Oreochromis niloticus: one gene and its partner. The protein of the gene in region 1 purifies or fractionates together with the protein of each later gene. This does not show direct contact. Links are inferred from orthologs where the notes say so. Each region holds a gene or a part of one and is shown in the gene's direction. Other genes may lie near its edges. The genes, in order: cpsf1 and fip1l1b.

Evidence for each region.
Region 2: the proteins of cpsf1 (region 1) and fip1l1b fractionate together in Homo sapiens (co-fractionation; 8 studies listed by BioGRID and IntAct, with this or other methods). This does not show direct contact. The link is inferred for Oreochromis niloticus from reciprocal best matches to the Homo sapiens genes CPSF1 and FIP1L1.

What each region holds. Positions count from the first base shown.
Region 1 is NC_031985.2:31,557,073-31,565,089, reverse strand, and holds the start of cpsf1 (cleavage and polyadenylation specificity factor subunit 1), read left to right. Parts: upstream 1-4,849; 5' UTR 4,850-5,015; intron 5,016-5,461; 5' UTR 5,462-5,483; coding exon 5,484-5,627; intron 5,628-5,729; coding exon 5,730-5,757; intron 5,758-5,853; coding exon 5,854-5,987; intron 5,988-6,085; coding exon 6,086-6,166; intron 6,167-6,251; coding exon 6,252-6,403; intron 6,404-8,017. Other genes in the region: parp10 (poly [ADP-ribose] polymerase 10), read left to right, coding at 1-91. UniProt on the Homo sapiens protein: Component of the cleavage and polyadenylation specificity factor (CPSF) complex that plays a key role in pre-mRNA 3'-end formation, recognizing the AAUAAA signal sequence and interacting with poly(A) polymerase and other factors to bring about cleavage and poly(A) addition.
Region 2 is NC_031971.2:23,839,798-23,847,222, forward strand, and holds the start of fip1l1b (pre-mRNA 3'-end-processing factor FIP1), read left to right. Parts: upstream 1-4,297; 5' UTR 4,298-4,506; coding exon 4,507-4,585; intron 4,586-4,953; coding exon 4,954-5,008; intron 5,009-6,921; coding exon 6,922-6,988; intron 6,989-7,096; coding exon 7,097-7,209; intron 7,210-7,425.

The sequences.
Region 1 (8,017 bases):
AGCCACAGTGTTCATTGAGAATGCCTTTAGGAAGAAGCTGAAGAAGGTTGACGTCTTGCTAGACAATCAGCCGCACACAATCAACTTTTGAGAAGATGCAAGAACACAACATCGCTTCGGGGGAAATCAGCGCAGATCAGCAGGAAGTTGCTCGAATTAGATGATTTAAGTGACAGTGTACCAGGTAAAGTGAGATTTATTAAGCCTTCTGTGGAATGATGCTTCATGTGGGGCCGTGAAAGAGACAAAATCCAGAAAATGATTAGCACACAAGTCAAAAATGTCATCAGCTATCTTATGCTATATCACACAACAGGCTATATGATTTTTCATATAACTTAATTAAAGGTGTTGCCGTAGCACAAATATTGTGTGAGGTCAGGTTCAGTGACGCCAATTAGCTGAGGTTAAGCCTAGCAAACAGCTATTGACCACAGGGACCTGTGTCAGCACACCAATAATTGAAGCTTTAACAGTATCCAAATGGACAGTTGTTATAAAAGGAGGGATTAGCTATAGAGCTTTTTAACACAGGAGTGTTAGAGATTTCTCTGCTTTTGAAGCCAGACTCATTTTTGGCCATTAGAGGAATGTTGGCTTCGGTTTTTAGCCCCTGAAGTTGTCTGTGAGGAATATTAGGTGTATTTGTAGTTAGCTCCTCTGTGTGTTTTCAGATTAGCACACAGTCAGAGGTATTATCATTGTGTACCTGCATGCACCATTCTTGAAGCCTGAAATAAACTATTAAAGCATAAAACAAAGTAAAGTGTGTAATAAAGAAAGACATTTTCATGTCAACAGCTGAGTGGGGAGACTTAGGGAAATGTATATAATTCTAACTACTTATTACGTCCACCAAGGTAAACAACATAGCTCGAAAACTTAAGAATGAATTCTGATAAAACTTTGTGGGGGTGTAGAGTGGGATCATGTTAGCAATCTGTTAAAATTAGGCTTATATCCACCAAGGTCTTTAAGGTCAACTTCATGATTTATTAGTCAGAAATAGACTAAAAGCCTTAAAACTTATAAGTTATTATTCTTATAAATGTGGTGTGTATTTTCAACATTGTCACTAGATAAATCCGAAGGTCAAAATGATAATAATGCTGTATAGAGCTATTTAAAACTATGGTTCTTATTGCTGCTGTTTATATTGACAGCATATGGACACGTAGGGAATGATATATGTGGGTACCTAAATATCACGTTACTTTGGACCTCTGACCTTATCTTCAAAGTCAAGAAAGCTCAAACATTTAAACAACAATCTCCTTACCTTTAAAGCTCTGCTTAAAATTGTACTGTTTTTATTTGTGGTACAATTTAAAAAGAACAAAGAAAACAATAAATATATACAAAATAAACTGTAAAATGCCGCCAAAGAGAGCGAGCTGCCTTGGTGGAGGTTTGCACTTCTTGTTAGTTTTTCCACTTGCATCAGTTTTGCAGCTCCCTGTTTATTTTATTAAATAATATGAGTCATTTAAAAAACTGAAATAATGCTTACTAAATAATTTGTTTAACAGAAGATGACTACTCCGTGCTATCAAACTTCCCCGAAGCAACCAAAGTGGATGAGGAATCTGATGAATTCCAGAACGTGGTGAAGCAATTCTACGAGACCATTCAGGAATATCACAGCAAAATCCGAATCATACAGGTGAAACGATGAGCTCTGTCTTTTTTGCAGCAGCTGACTGTGGCTTTAGTGATGACTACAATCATTTTTGTTTTGTTCGCAGGTTGAGAAGCTCATGAACAAGCTGTTGTACAATCAGTACAAGCTGAAGAAGGCCAGCGTACTGCAGCGTGCCACCTACCCGCAGATCGAGCGCATCCTGTACCACGGCACGAGCGAGAGCAGCGTCAAGGAGATATGCGTCCATGGCTTCAACAGAAGCTTCTGTGGAAAGAATGGTACGCTTTTCATGCTGGCTTTCTTTGTCTTGTTTACATCGGGTTTTGTCACATCTTCTGATGCTCTGTTTTTTTCCACGCAGCCACCGTCTACGGTCAGGGGGTCTATTTTGCTGTGAACTCGGCTCTATCTGTCCAGGATCAGTATTCCCCCCCAAACGCGGATGGATACAAGTTTATTTTTGTGTCCAAAGTTCTAACGGGAGACTACACCAAAGGTTGCCATTCGATGAAGACGGCCCCGCTGAAGGAGACGGGAGATATCCCCCTCAGATACGACAGCGTGACTGATAACATTACCAAGCCGTCGATGTTTGTCATTTTCAACGACACACAAGCTTTTCCAGAATATCTCATCACATGCCAGAGAATCCACCGCTGAGGAGAATGGATTAGACGCCGGCGATGACATTTGGAGAGAGCAGACTGCTGATGCTTTAATGTTTCTGCCTTCAGTTTAAAAAAGCGATTTTGGTTTATAAAGGGCTAAGGTGTAATGATTTGATCAGCCGTGATCAAACCGATGAAGTGCTTCTCTGTTGATCGTTTCCCCTCTTTGATTTCCTCACTACGTTGTAATGTCATTAAAAAGAATCAAGCGACTGAACCCAAGAAGCCAGTTTTCATTCAGTAACTTTAAACATGCCCTTTCAGCACATTTACAGCTCATTGTGCCGCGGCTTTACATAGACAGCACTTATTGCATGACATTTGACTTGTAATAGTCAATTTGGTACTCACTGGCATCACTCCCACACTCCAGTTAATATTAGCCTGTCTTTTCCTCTGTTAATGTCATTGTATTCCTATAAGTGGAAGACAACTTTTTGATTAGTAGCCTGCTGACAGTACTACATGCACTCCTGTCTGCCTGCTTCCATCAGTAAGAGGTTATTGTGAATGAGCCAGATCTGATAGTACAAGAATATGACCCCTATTTAGTTTTACGTTTCGGTTAAGTTATTTGAGTTTCTCCCTAAAGTTTTTTTTTTCTTTCTTTTGGCTATGCAAGAATAAAACTTAAGTGTGGTTAAAATAAGAACAAAAAAAGTAGAGGTGTGTAGTCCACTGCTCTTCACGTACAGGTGGGCGTGAGTTGAAAACACTTGAACACAAATTAAAGATAATTCTGTCTTGTTTTGAGTCTCGTGATCTCTGTTCTGTCTTAAAAATTTAAAGCCTTATATCCATCACAGCTGTTGCACACGTCACAGACTGTGTATTGTTGTTTTTCTGAACCAAAATGATCTGCGAGCTCCAGTATGTGTTGCACAACGTGATAGTTCTTGATTGTCTTCTCACTAGTTCTGCTGATCCTTGTTTAATGAAGTGAGCACAGACAGCCTGATTTTAATTACAGTGCCTTCATTTTTCCAAGTGCTCTCATCACAAGTCCATCCATTCATCCATTCTCTTCTGCTTATCCTTCTTATCTGATCACAAGTCTTGGATTTTAATTAAGTCCTGGAAAGTTTGGGCCTTGGGTTTTTGCTGTGTTTAATTTAGATTGTCTTACAGTTACTACAAAAGTCTTTTGTTTTTAGCATCATGTTTGTTGTTTTTAATGAAGAATATTTCGTTTTAAGAGAGCTCCACTTCATTTATACGAAAAATAAAACTTTAAATGAGAAACCGTTTGATGGTCGTTTTACCCTATTTGTAGATCTTAGACCACTGTTGACCTATAACAAACACATCTGTAGTATCTGCACACATGTTGTCCAGTATGTGCTGATCTTATAACTTTACATGAAACATGAATGAAAAAGATGCTAAATGTATTTTGGAGATGGGTGTCGTAGCACACCTGTAACAGCAGTTCTGTAACAGCACAGCTGAGGATAAAGTTGGGTGGAGTCTGGCGATATTTATAAAAAAAAAAAAAAAGTTGCTTAAATGAGTGTTTACAGTATAATTCAAATCATTGAATTTAGGTCTTCCATGGCCACAGGTGTATAAAATCAAGCACCTAGACATGCACACTGCTTTGATTTGTGAAGGAATGGGTCCATTTCAGGAGCTCAGTGAATACCAGCATGGTACCGTCATAGGATGCCACCTGTGCAACCAGTCCAGTCTTGATATTTTCTCACTACTAAATATTCCACGGTTAGCTGTTAGTGGTATTAAAGCAAAGTGGAAGCGATTGGAAATGACAGTAGTTCAGCCTAAACTCAGCAACTTATAAACCCCGTGAAAAGCCTTCCCAGAAGACTTGAAGCTCTTATAGCTGCAAATTGTGGGCAGACCGATCATATTAAACTCTATGGATTAAGGGATACCACTCAAGTTCATGTGTTTGTAAAGGTAGACAAGCGAATACTTTTGGTAATATTTATTTTTATTTATTTATATATTTCCCTTTGTTTCCTTATATATTTTCTCATTAAGGTTTCAGCACACAATATCAACAAATCCTCATTATGTGATGTACCTCTAACACATGTGGGATCTACACATTCATCCACAAAACCTATTTTAACAAATGACTCACTTGGCGCACTCTGCTGGGATAAACCTGGCTTAATAAGTAAGAAATGTTTTCGAAGCTGTCTTTCACTGACAAGTGTGCACAAATGCTGTACACAAAATTGAGTAAGATAAATATGGAAAATTAAATGCCATTAAAATCTCATTAAAAAAAAATCAAATACAGAACACATTACAATCAGTAAAAGAATCAACAAAAAGCCTGATTAAACAAAAAAGATTTTAGCTATTTTTAAAGAGTCCACAGAGTCAGCTAAATAAATGTAATTGTAGTGGGACATTGTTACAAAGCCTTGGCGCCACAGACTGATAAGCTCTGCCCCCCTTTCACTTCATTTTTTTAAATATCTGTACACACACAAAATAACTCTGAGACAGCAGCTGCTATCAAAATGCTAAATATAGGTGGCGCTAATGTGCCTTGGAGTGGTTGGCTAAAAAAAAAAAAAAACACGAAGAAGAAGACCAACGCAGCCACAACAACGACAGCTAACCTTGCTATCGGTTAGCTAGCTTAAGTTGGTATCACACAAAATATGTCACGCTCACTGTGAACAAGGGAGGAAACAATAAAGCTGCAAACTCAGATAACGTGACGGACATAGGTACGTCCACGCGTTACATTCACTGCTTGTGAAAACATTTGAAAAATTGTAGCCTGTTACTATGCCATGCCAGCTACAAATGGGAACGTTAGCGTGCTGCTAAGGCAGCTAACTTAACCGGCTTTTCCCATACATTTGCTATTCGAAGCTAACTAAAATGAAGCTGAGACTAACAACACGAGTGGATATCGCTGGTTAAGTTAAACCAGTTATCAGAATAAATTCTAATAATTGATACACACAGACAAAATGTAGCGCTGGCATAAGCTAGCTAGCATTTGATCGTTTTGAAGCCTATTTAAGTGTACACTGACGTAATTTATAAAACGGCGCTCGGATTGTCTGTGCAGTTTTTGTTTAACGCAGATACACGCATACCTGTGTACCGATTGTTTTAGTGGTGAGGTGATGTCAGAGGTCTTGACGTGAGTGTTTTCACCTGTTAGATGCTGAGGGCAGCCTGCCACCATGTATGCCGTGTACAGACAAGCCCACACACCGACCTCAGTGGAGTTTTCTGTCTACTGCAACTTTATATCCAGTAAGGAGAAGAACCTGGTCGTAGCTGGAACATCTCAACTGTTTGTTTACAGGATCATTCATGATGTGGAGGTAACTTTAAATCTAAGGTTCACCTGTTTTTTTGTGCCTTTTTTTTTTAAAACACAAGCATAAAAGGGCTTTTTGATATATGCCACATTTGTCCTATTTCAGAGTACTTCAAAGGCTGACAAGTCATCTGGTATGTCAAAGAAAGCATCTCATTCAAATACACATTCTACTGTTGGTAAAAAATGTTTTTGGTTTTTTTTGCTGAGTCTCGACTTTTCTTGCGCAGATTCCAAATCTCGTAAAGAGAAGCTGGAGCAGGTGGCTTCCTTTTCTCTCTTTGGGAACATCATGTCTATGGCTAGTGTACAACTTGTTGGAGCCAGCAGAGATGCACTCCTTTTGAGTTTCAAAGATGCAAAGGTATTATAGAGCAAGCAGTGTGCTGCTTAAATAAACCATGCTTTTAACCCCTAGAATTGTTTCTCAGTGACCCTTGCCTGTGTTTTGTCTCTCACCAGCTGTCTGTGGTAGAGTATGATCCTGGGACACATGACCTCAAGACACTGTCTCTTCATTACTTTGAGGAGCCAGAGCTCAGAGTATGTAGCAACAAAAATAAACCTGAGTTTATGTTCATGTGTAAAAGTGACTCAACTGTGAATATAACTGTTCTTGTATTTTCAGGATGGCTTTGTACAGAATGTACATATTCCCGTTGTGCGTGTAGATCCAGAGAATCGCTGTGCTGTAATGCTCGTTTATGGCACCAAACTCGTGGTGCTGCCATTCCGAAAGGACACGCTAACGGATGAACAAGAGAGCGGTGTTGGAGAAGGGTAAGTTATACATCTAATTATTAAAGTTGATTTGTTACGCTCAGTTCCAGCTCAGTTGTTTTGATTTTTTTTACTCTACTAGAGTAGCTTTGCATGATTCAGTTAAAAAAAGGGCACCTTCCTTTTAAGCTAACTTTCCTTATCAGCCTTTTAACTTTTCATTCACAGGTATAGCTTGTACTTAAGTTCATTATTCTAGACTGACTGCTAAATACAATGCATCTAGTACTATAACAGTATTCTTGTGCCTCTCAAAAAGCTTTTTTTCATAATAATATTTAAATAAAAAAGTCACCATTTATGTATTCTATGTTCATTACAGTGAAGTGAATTATTTAAAGCCTTTTTTGTTTTATGGCGTATAACTCCAATAAATCGAGTATCTGAAATCATTAGATTATTTGCTAAGATCAATCAAAAGACAGAAATGAAACTTCTGAGAAGCATGTCCATTTGTACACTCAGTGCATGGCCTTTATCACAAATTCCTGCATAAGTGCGGGGCAGCATAGAGGTGATCAAAGCCCAGGCTGCTTTCACATTGACCTTCAGCTTGCCTCCATTTTTAGTATTTCTCAACTGATAAAATCCATAAATTCTCCATGAAATTCAGTTTGGCTGAGCTTGCCAATTAAGGGCAGTAACTTTGTCTGCAAACTACTCAGCCAAAGGTTTGGCACTGTGGGTGGGTCCTACTGGAAAAGGATCAGCATCTCCATAAAGCTTGTCAGCAGGTGGAAAGTTGAAGTGCATTAAAATCTGCGGGTAGACAGTTACGTTGACACTGGACTTGATAAAACACAGCGGACCAACAGCCAAGAACACTGGCAGGTCACATGGCACCCCAAATTGTCACAACTGTGGAAATGTCACACTGGGCTTGACACACCTTGGATTCTGTGCCTCTGCACTCTTCCTCCTGACTCTAGAAGTTTGATTTCCAAATGAAAGGGAAATTTTACTTTCACCTGAGAAGAGGACAGTTGGACCAATGAGCAACAGTGCAGTTACTTACAACGTAACATGACTACAACTAACCACACATCAGGTGGACACAGCCCACAGTTACTGTGATTAGCTGTTCACGGCTGTCCATCCCTTCTTTGCAGTTTCAGCTACTTTCTCACAACTGTTAGCAAACATTGTACAAGAGTCAATAATCATAAATGAGTAAGATAAAACAAACTGTTAAAAATAACCATAAAAATCACAACATCAATATAAGGAGTCACAATCAGCAGATTCCTGGAGAGAAATTGTACAAAGAAGTGGAAAAACTTTAAGGACAAATATTTTTGCCTCTGGAAAAAAACTAAACTAACCACAACAGAGAGCGAAGACTTTGTATTTATTTCTATCATGACTGCACTGTAAATAAAACACCTGGACACGACCACATGATAATTAACAGTTAATGCACCAGCACGCAACCAGAAATAAGGGCAGAGACATCAGCCTCTTATGTTACGTAGTCAGCTCCTCAAACAGTGCAGAAGTCTAGCCCAGGTTAGCTGTTTCTAACGTCTTGGGTTCAGGAAGGCACTTGTGGCCCATTTCCTGAAGATGTCTGTGCGCAGCAGCTCTTGATGCTCTGACGCCAGCCTCAGGCCACTC
Region 2 (7,425 bases), on another chromosome or scaffold:
AATGTCCGTAATTAAAGAACAGATGGATCTTTGTATTGCAAAACAAAGAAGGAGAAAATGCCACGTTAAGCTGTCATTGCATCATACCGTTGATATAACCATTTGTTTGATCCAAAGAGATGATGTGGATTGAAAATGTGCCAGGGTGCATATCAGGGGAAGCTAATATCAGCGTGTGTAATTACTGATAGCCCAACGATCGCCCTCTGCTTGGATAAACCCGATTAGGATCGACTAGGCTGTAAGCCTCTCTAATCCACCGTAAGGAGAGAGGGATGGATGCAGGGAGGGAGGAAACTCAGAGAGAGACAGGGTGGCACATAGGGTGAAGGGGAGAAAGGGAAATAAGGATAAACAAGGTGCAAGAGGATGAAAAGCAGACAGGAACAAGACAGAGAGAGAGAGGAGAGAGAAGGCAGAGGAATCGTCAGGGAAAAACAGGCGAAGAGAAGCTGCACAGTGTGTCAAAGCAGATCACTGCCCGCAGGAAAAACACAGGCAACAACACAGCAAACTGAACTCCCTCCAAACCGCTTTTATCTCCTTCCACTGTGGTTTTGACCTTTGCCACTGCATCCAAGAGTTCAACCACATTTTATTTTAAATCACGTTCCTGCTCTGTTTGACAAATGTGGTTTTTTTTCCTTTCATTCTCATTATATTCTGCAGATCTCTGTGCATGGTTGTTGTATGCACAGACTGTGGATAAAAGATGAAATGCAAAGTGCCTGAGTGCTGACTCCTCCTCCTCTGGCTGCATAATAAAGTCCAGTTTGTAAGTTTATCGGGTCACAGGGGCAGCTACTTAAGCAGAAAAACACGGAGATCCATGCCCAGTTACCAAAATAAGTTTGTAAGTCTGTAAGAAAAAAAGGCCCAGGTCTTTGATGGCACCTGTAAATGCTGAAGCAGGGTTTACCTTGAGAGTGGCAAGGTGAGAATTAAGTTGGTGGTAAGTGATTAACACTGTCTATCAGCAAGATTACACAAAAACTACTAAGCAAAATTCAATGAACGGATGGACAGGTGGGAATGACAGAGGAACTCTTAGATCTGTGTCGTTTCTCTCAAGAAACAGGACTCTGGCACTGAACCTCGGGGAGGATGTGCTTTTCTACTTTAAATGCTGCTTTGTTGTCTTTTTGTCTCAAAAGATGCTTTGCAAGACTTTATCCAATTACGATCATCTCAGTTAAGTAAATTTGACTTTAAATAGCTCTTGAGTACATGGAAAGGAAAAGAGAAAAGGGAGAAAAGAGCATGAAAAGCAGGTGGGGGTATAAAGAAAACAAAGGGAGGGAATGTGATCAGAAAACACAGAGGAGTAACAGACTGGAAGAGAGACGCGTGAGAGGGAGAGAGAGTGAATGAAATAAATGCAATTTCCATGATCAGTTTAAGTTTGAGACCATTAGTCCCTGTACGTGTGTGTGTGTGTGTTTGTGTGGTGTGTGTGTGAATACACCGTAAACTTGGGGGAGCCGCACAAAAGCTCACACATATGATGTGATACAGTAGATTCCCGTGATATGAACCCCTGTGTGGTTCTCACATACGGTATGGGGGGGAAAAAAATCAATATAATCACAACTATAGTGTTACCATCCCATTTTTCACTCTCCCTGTGAGAGAGAGCACGCACTACATAAAAATTAATTTCATTTCAGCCTCAGATAAACCAGTGAGCGTCAGAACTCAGGCCACGCCTCTGTGTAATTTCCACTGTAAAAACTGAGGGAGAGTGAGAGAATCCACAGATTTCCTTGTCCTTTACTGACAAAGCTAAAGTGGCTCCACTTAACTGGTCAGAGGCCATAAATGCATTAAGAGTTTTCTTTGCATTAGCAGGCAACTTCTTGTGCAAACAACCACAACAGCAATCATGAGAAGTCATTTCGCTGCTGATGAGTCTGCAGCTGCTTCTTGAGGTTATAAACTTATAAAAGCTCTTTGAGAGAGGCAAAGTTTAAGTCTTTATTCCTTTTCTAAGGCAGGAGCTGATGCGGAGGTATGTCTCTAGTGGCATTCGTTTGTTTGTCGGCAAGATTACACGAAAACCATCGAGCTGAACTTCATGAAACCTGGTGGAGAAGTGGATAGCGACCAGAGAAATACCTCAATAAATTTTGTTGTGAATCTGGATTACTTTTCTTAAAATTACAATATAGTACATTGGCTTTGGTGAAGAGCTCTTTTGTTTTCACAACCTCTGGCTTACACATAACATTGTTTAACATCATTTATTTATTGCTTATAATTTGCATTAGTAACAACTTACTTGCTATAACCCAAAAAAATAAAGAATACAGATAAAATAGTCAAAAACTAGGAAATAACAACCTTAAAATTGTGCTTTATTGAAGTAGCCTGCATAAGGAAATGTACTTAGTTGCTTCTACTGCTTTTCCAGAGATGGCTTAGCTGTAAAACTTGCATTGTCCTTGGAAAACCTGCAATTCTGCCCTCACAACTTCTTTGTGTTTTGGTTTTTTATGATTACCTTGTCCAGTGAAGTTTCATTTCTATCAAAGCCAACTAGAGGCAGGGAAATGCTTACTGTCCAGAATAGACAGATTATGAGAACCATCAAAACATTTCGAAGGACTAAATAGTTCAGCTGAAAACACATTAGACTATCTTAAGTGTGGCATCCCATGATATACTAAAAACAAAAGTAGATTTATTTATGTCAATTTACCAGGCGGAAATGCAAACAAATAGAAGGCTGAAGCGTCTACATGGCCTTTTACATGAGGTACAGTGTGTGCCCCAGGCCACTGGCTGTACTGCCTTCAGACTCAGACACAACTTTCTTAAACAGATCAGGCACTTTGATCATTTACAGCATAAGTGCAGGGGGAGCTAATTTAATGAACGATGAAAGCACCATGGTAAGACGTGACACTGAGCCTTCGTGCAGGACAAGGAGCTTGAAACTCACTCAGCTAAATGGAGTACACAGTGTTTTTTTTTAATCATCTGGACATGTGCTTATCCTGCCCTGCTATGCTTCGCATGTGCTGAGGCCCTGAGGGGCATCATTTTTCCCAATGCATGTGGAGATAGGAATATGAGAAAATTTCCTACCAGGGTTTGGCTGTCAGTCTGTTCTTTACATCACTTCCATTTTCCCACGCTGCAAAACTCAGTGCTGACATAATTGCTCTAGTCCAGTCATCTTTCTGCCAATCAGCTTCCACTCTACGTACTTTACATCGCACTGGCCATCTTTCATTCTTCCTTGCAGATTCCTTCATGCAACCCACCTCCTCCCCAACTCCACCTCATGCAAACCACTCATCCAAGCCTCCATCTTATCTTCACCACCACGAGAGTCTAGACTCCAGAGCGAAAAACTTGACATACGGATATGGATAATGGATATGTGCAGGGTATCCATTAAAACCATTTGAGGAAACTGGAATAGAACAGTAAAAAAATAATAAGTGGAAGGCCTAAAAAACTCTCTACAGCAGATAAACAGTATCTGAATGCCATGTCCTTAAGAAATAGAAGAAAATCCCACAAAGACCTGACCCAGGAGCTGAGGGTTGCATCTGGCCTCTTCAGAAATGTTCTCAGTGGAAGGGCGGATAGCAAGAAGCCTTTCTTAGTGAAGGAAGGGAAGAGAAACAGGGACAAAAGGCCAAGGTATGCCAGATTACATGAGGGCTGGTCTGAAAATGAGTGCCAACAGATCTTGGAGTGATGAATCCAGATTTGAAAATTTTGATTCGAATTGTCACTATGTACAGAGGAGGTCAGGAGAGAGGTACAACAGTGAGTCTCTAGGGCCAACCATAAAACATGATGGAGGCTCTGTCTGTCTGACTGGCATCGGCTTCATTTCTCATAATAACGATGATCCCAAGTACAGTGCCAATGCACTAACAGTATACCTGGATTCAAAAACACAGAAGGATCACCATCAGTCATGGATTGGCCTCCCCAGAACCCAAACCTCAACATCATTAAAGCAGTGTGGGATCATCTTCACAGATAACAGAACAAAAAGGCAGCAGAAGAGCTTTAAATGCCCTTCAGGTTGTACTGAGTAATAAAGTTTGTAGCAAAGTTTCACTTTCTCCTAGAAGAAAAGCAGAGCTGGAAAAGAGAGTGAAGAAGCACTTTCGGGCATGTATTTGGGTGGTTACTTTGAAAAAACAATCTAACTAATTGTCACAGCACAAAATAACGTTTTATTTAATTCTTTCACTGTCGTGTTAAAAAAAAAACGCGACATAAAAAAGGAGCCGTTAGTTTGCCCGCTGGGGGCGCTGTGTTTTCTCCCATCACCCTTGACATTAGCGGGATGCCACCAATCTCTTCCGGGTTCACTCCGACTCGCAAAGGTTGGAAATGAACCTATGAAGACATAATTTATGTACATAACCACGTTTCCACGATAAAGGGAGAAGTTTTACTGTTATTTTTGCACCTGTGAGCTTTATTGAAGCTTGTAGTTGTTGAAGCCGCTGCTGGTTTAGCTCTCCGTGTAAGTTTAACATGTCTGCGGAGGAAGCGGACAAAACAGCCACCACTGATGCCAGCGCCGGAGACGAGGAGGAGGAATGGCTGTATGGAGGTAAAAACAACCACCTGACGTCCACAGAAACGGTTCCTTCGAACAGACAGAGACGTGGAACACGATGTCTCTCGCTATGTTCCTAATTAACTGCTAACAACAGATATCACTGTGCGCTATCCCGTTAATCACGAGCGTTAGCCTGGAAGCTAAGCTAGCAGCGGGATTTTGGTCGGCCTGTTGTGGCTGCACCGCTCGAGTCAAATCATTTGAGTATTACTCTGGCTTGTTATAACGTTTAACTGGACTATGAAGTGGCGTATGTATTTTCTGCAGCTCACCTTGTTAGTTAAAAAAAACAACAACTTCAGTTAAATATATATTAGATAACGATAAATGAACTCAGTTGCTTTTAATTTCTGTTCCAGATGAGTCAGAGAGCAAAGACGAGGATGAAGAAGCCAAGCTGAACGCTGCTGTCAGGTAACTATAATTCAGTCCTAGCCTGGATTTAAAAAAACAAAAAACCCTCTGTGTGTACCACATTTCAGGGTCAACGAGCGTTGGCAGAGTAACTAGCAAAGGTAATATAGTTCAGTACAGCTATCAGAAAATCTTCTCACGAACTCTAGAAGTATTTCAATTTCTAATAATTTTTAGATTTATTGAGGTGGATTTCAGCTGATGCTGTATCCCTGGGAACGGATAAAAGGCACTATTAATACACACGCAGAGGTCACTTTATTAGCTGCACCTTGCAAGTAACTGGGTTGGGCCGCCTTTTGCTGTCAGAACTGCTTTAATCCTTTGTGGCATAGATTCAGCAAAGTGATGGATGCATTCATCTGAGATTTTGGTCCATGTTGACGTCATGACATCACACAGTTGCTACTGATGAATCGCTGTACATCCATGAGAATCTGATGAGATATAGGTAGGCTGTATCCTACCTGAGAACCTACCAATATTCAGGTAGGATATGGTGTTTAAATAATGCTCAGTTGGTGTTATGGGAGCCAAACTGAAAATATCTCCCACTCCATTACATCACTAACAACGCTAAGCGGCAGCTACAAGGCAGGATTTGTCAATGCTGTCATGATATTCGTGCGTACCATCTGAATGTTGCAGCAGAAATCAATTCTTTGGTTGGTTATTTGGTTATATGATCTACTGCTGCCGTCCTCAGCTTGAATCAACCCGACCATTTACCTTTGACCTTTGGCACTGAGAGAACTGGATAGTTTTTCTTTCCTTATTTTCCCAAGCCCATTCTCTGTAAACCCTAGAAATGGTTGTATGGGAAAATCCCAGTGGATTTCTGAAATCAGCCATGTCATGCTGATCCATCCAAACTAAAATCACATGCGAGATGCATTTACTGCTATGTGATTGACTGATTAGATTGCTTTACATCTAGTATGTTAGAATATTATTGAAAAGAGAAAATTATGAGGATGTTGTTTGTCAGTCGTTAACTGTACACCTCATCTCTTCATTTATACTCATCCACATGTGCTGCAGATGCTGATGACACTATTGCTGCTGTCATAGATTCATTGATCCTACGGGGGAAACTCTGTTACAGCAGCAGCACAAAGAATAAAATTAGTGTAATATAATCTAATCTTGTTTAGTAAAGGTACCTCTGGCTCATAGTGAATGCTTTATAATGACACCGTTATTAAATTATCCCCAGCCTTAGACAGATTCATCTAACATATCTGTGACAGACCAAAAATAATTTTGGCTTACTAATATATCATCACCTGGGCTCCACCTAACATACAGACATCTTACAGTTACATTATGTGCTTAAATTTGAATAACAAAAGTGGTTAAACATATTTAAAAAAAAAACCAAAACAAAAAAAGTCAGCAGGTCACATGAGTACGTGTAAATATCTAGTTTAATTAAAAGTTACTAAAGGAGACTTAAAAACAAACTAATAGTCTTTTGAAACATAATTTTCTCCTAGTGTTTTACATACAGATAGATTAAAGGAAAAATGTAACACCTTGACCTCTACAGTGAGGTCATGCTGTGGCAGCTTTATGTTTTAAGTGACATTTTGGTGGCATGTTTTGTTTTTTTAATACTTGTTCTCTTTAAGATAAGGGTCACTGCAAGTAAATATAGTGTTTCTAAAAGATCCCCTTTATCCTTTGATTAAATTTTCCTTCCTTATTAGAATGGCCTCTGTTAGGATGTCAGTGCTCTGATGACTGAATAGTTTAAAGAGTATGAAAATGATGTAAATCAGATGTTGTGGCCTTCACAGTCACCAGATCTCCACCAAGGTGAAAAAACTTTGTGAGATTTTGGACCCAGAAACTTTGGACTGAGAAGAAATTTTATATTTGGTCTGTTGTGTCTAATGTTTTCATATCTGTAGTGCCCCTGCTGATGCTTCAACAGATGATGCTGCTGCGCACGCTACAGGAAATGGAGTTGCCTCTGAGGTGTGTAGCTTACATGCACAGTTTCAATAATTTTTGTTTGTTTTTATTACGAACCTAGATTCAACTCACTGAATGTTTCTTGTGTTGTTTTTGTTTCTGGATTTTCAGGCCACAGGTGAGGCTGCAGGCGAGGATGTGGAGAGCGACAGCGACAGTGACGATGACGACGATGATGTCCGTGTCACGATTGGAGACATAAAAACCGGAGCGCCACAGTACACGTACGTTTGAGGCAAATTGTGGTGCTGTACATATTTTTATAGTTTGTGGCTGGTTTAAATAAAAGCTGCTGGGTGAGGTTTCTGATTCGGAGATGGCTCATCACCTTGCTTGTACCTTCCTTGTGATGTAGCGTGGTGGTGTCAGCATCGTGCTCTGTGGGGTGCTTCTCAGTAGCAGGAGCAGGAAAACTGTTTAGAATTTAACAAATAAATAAT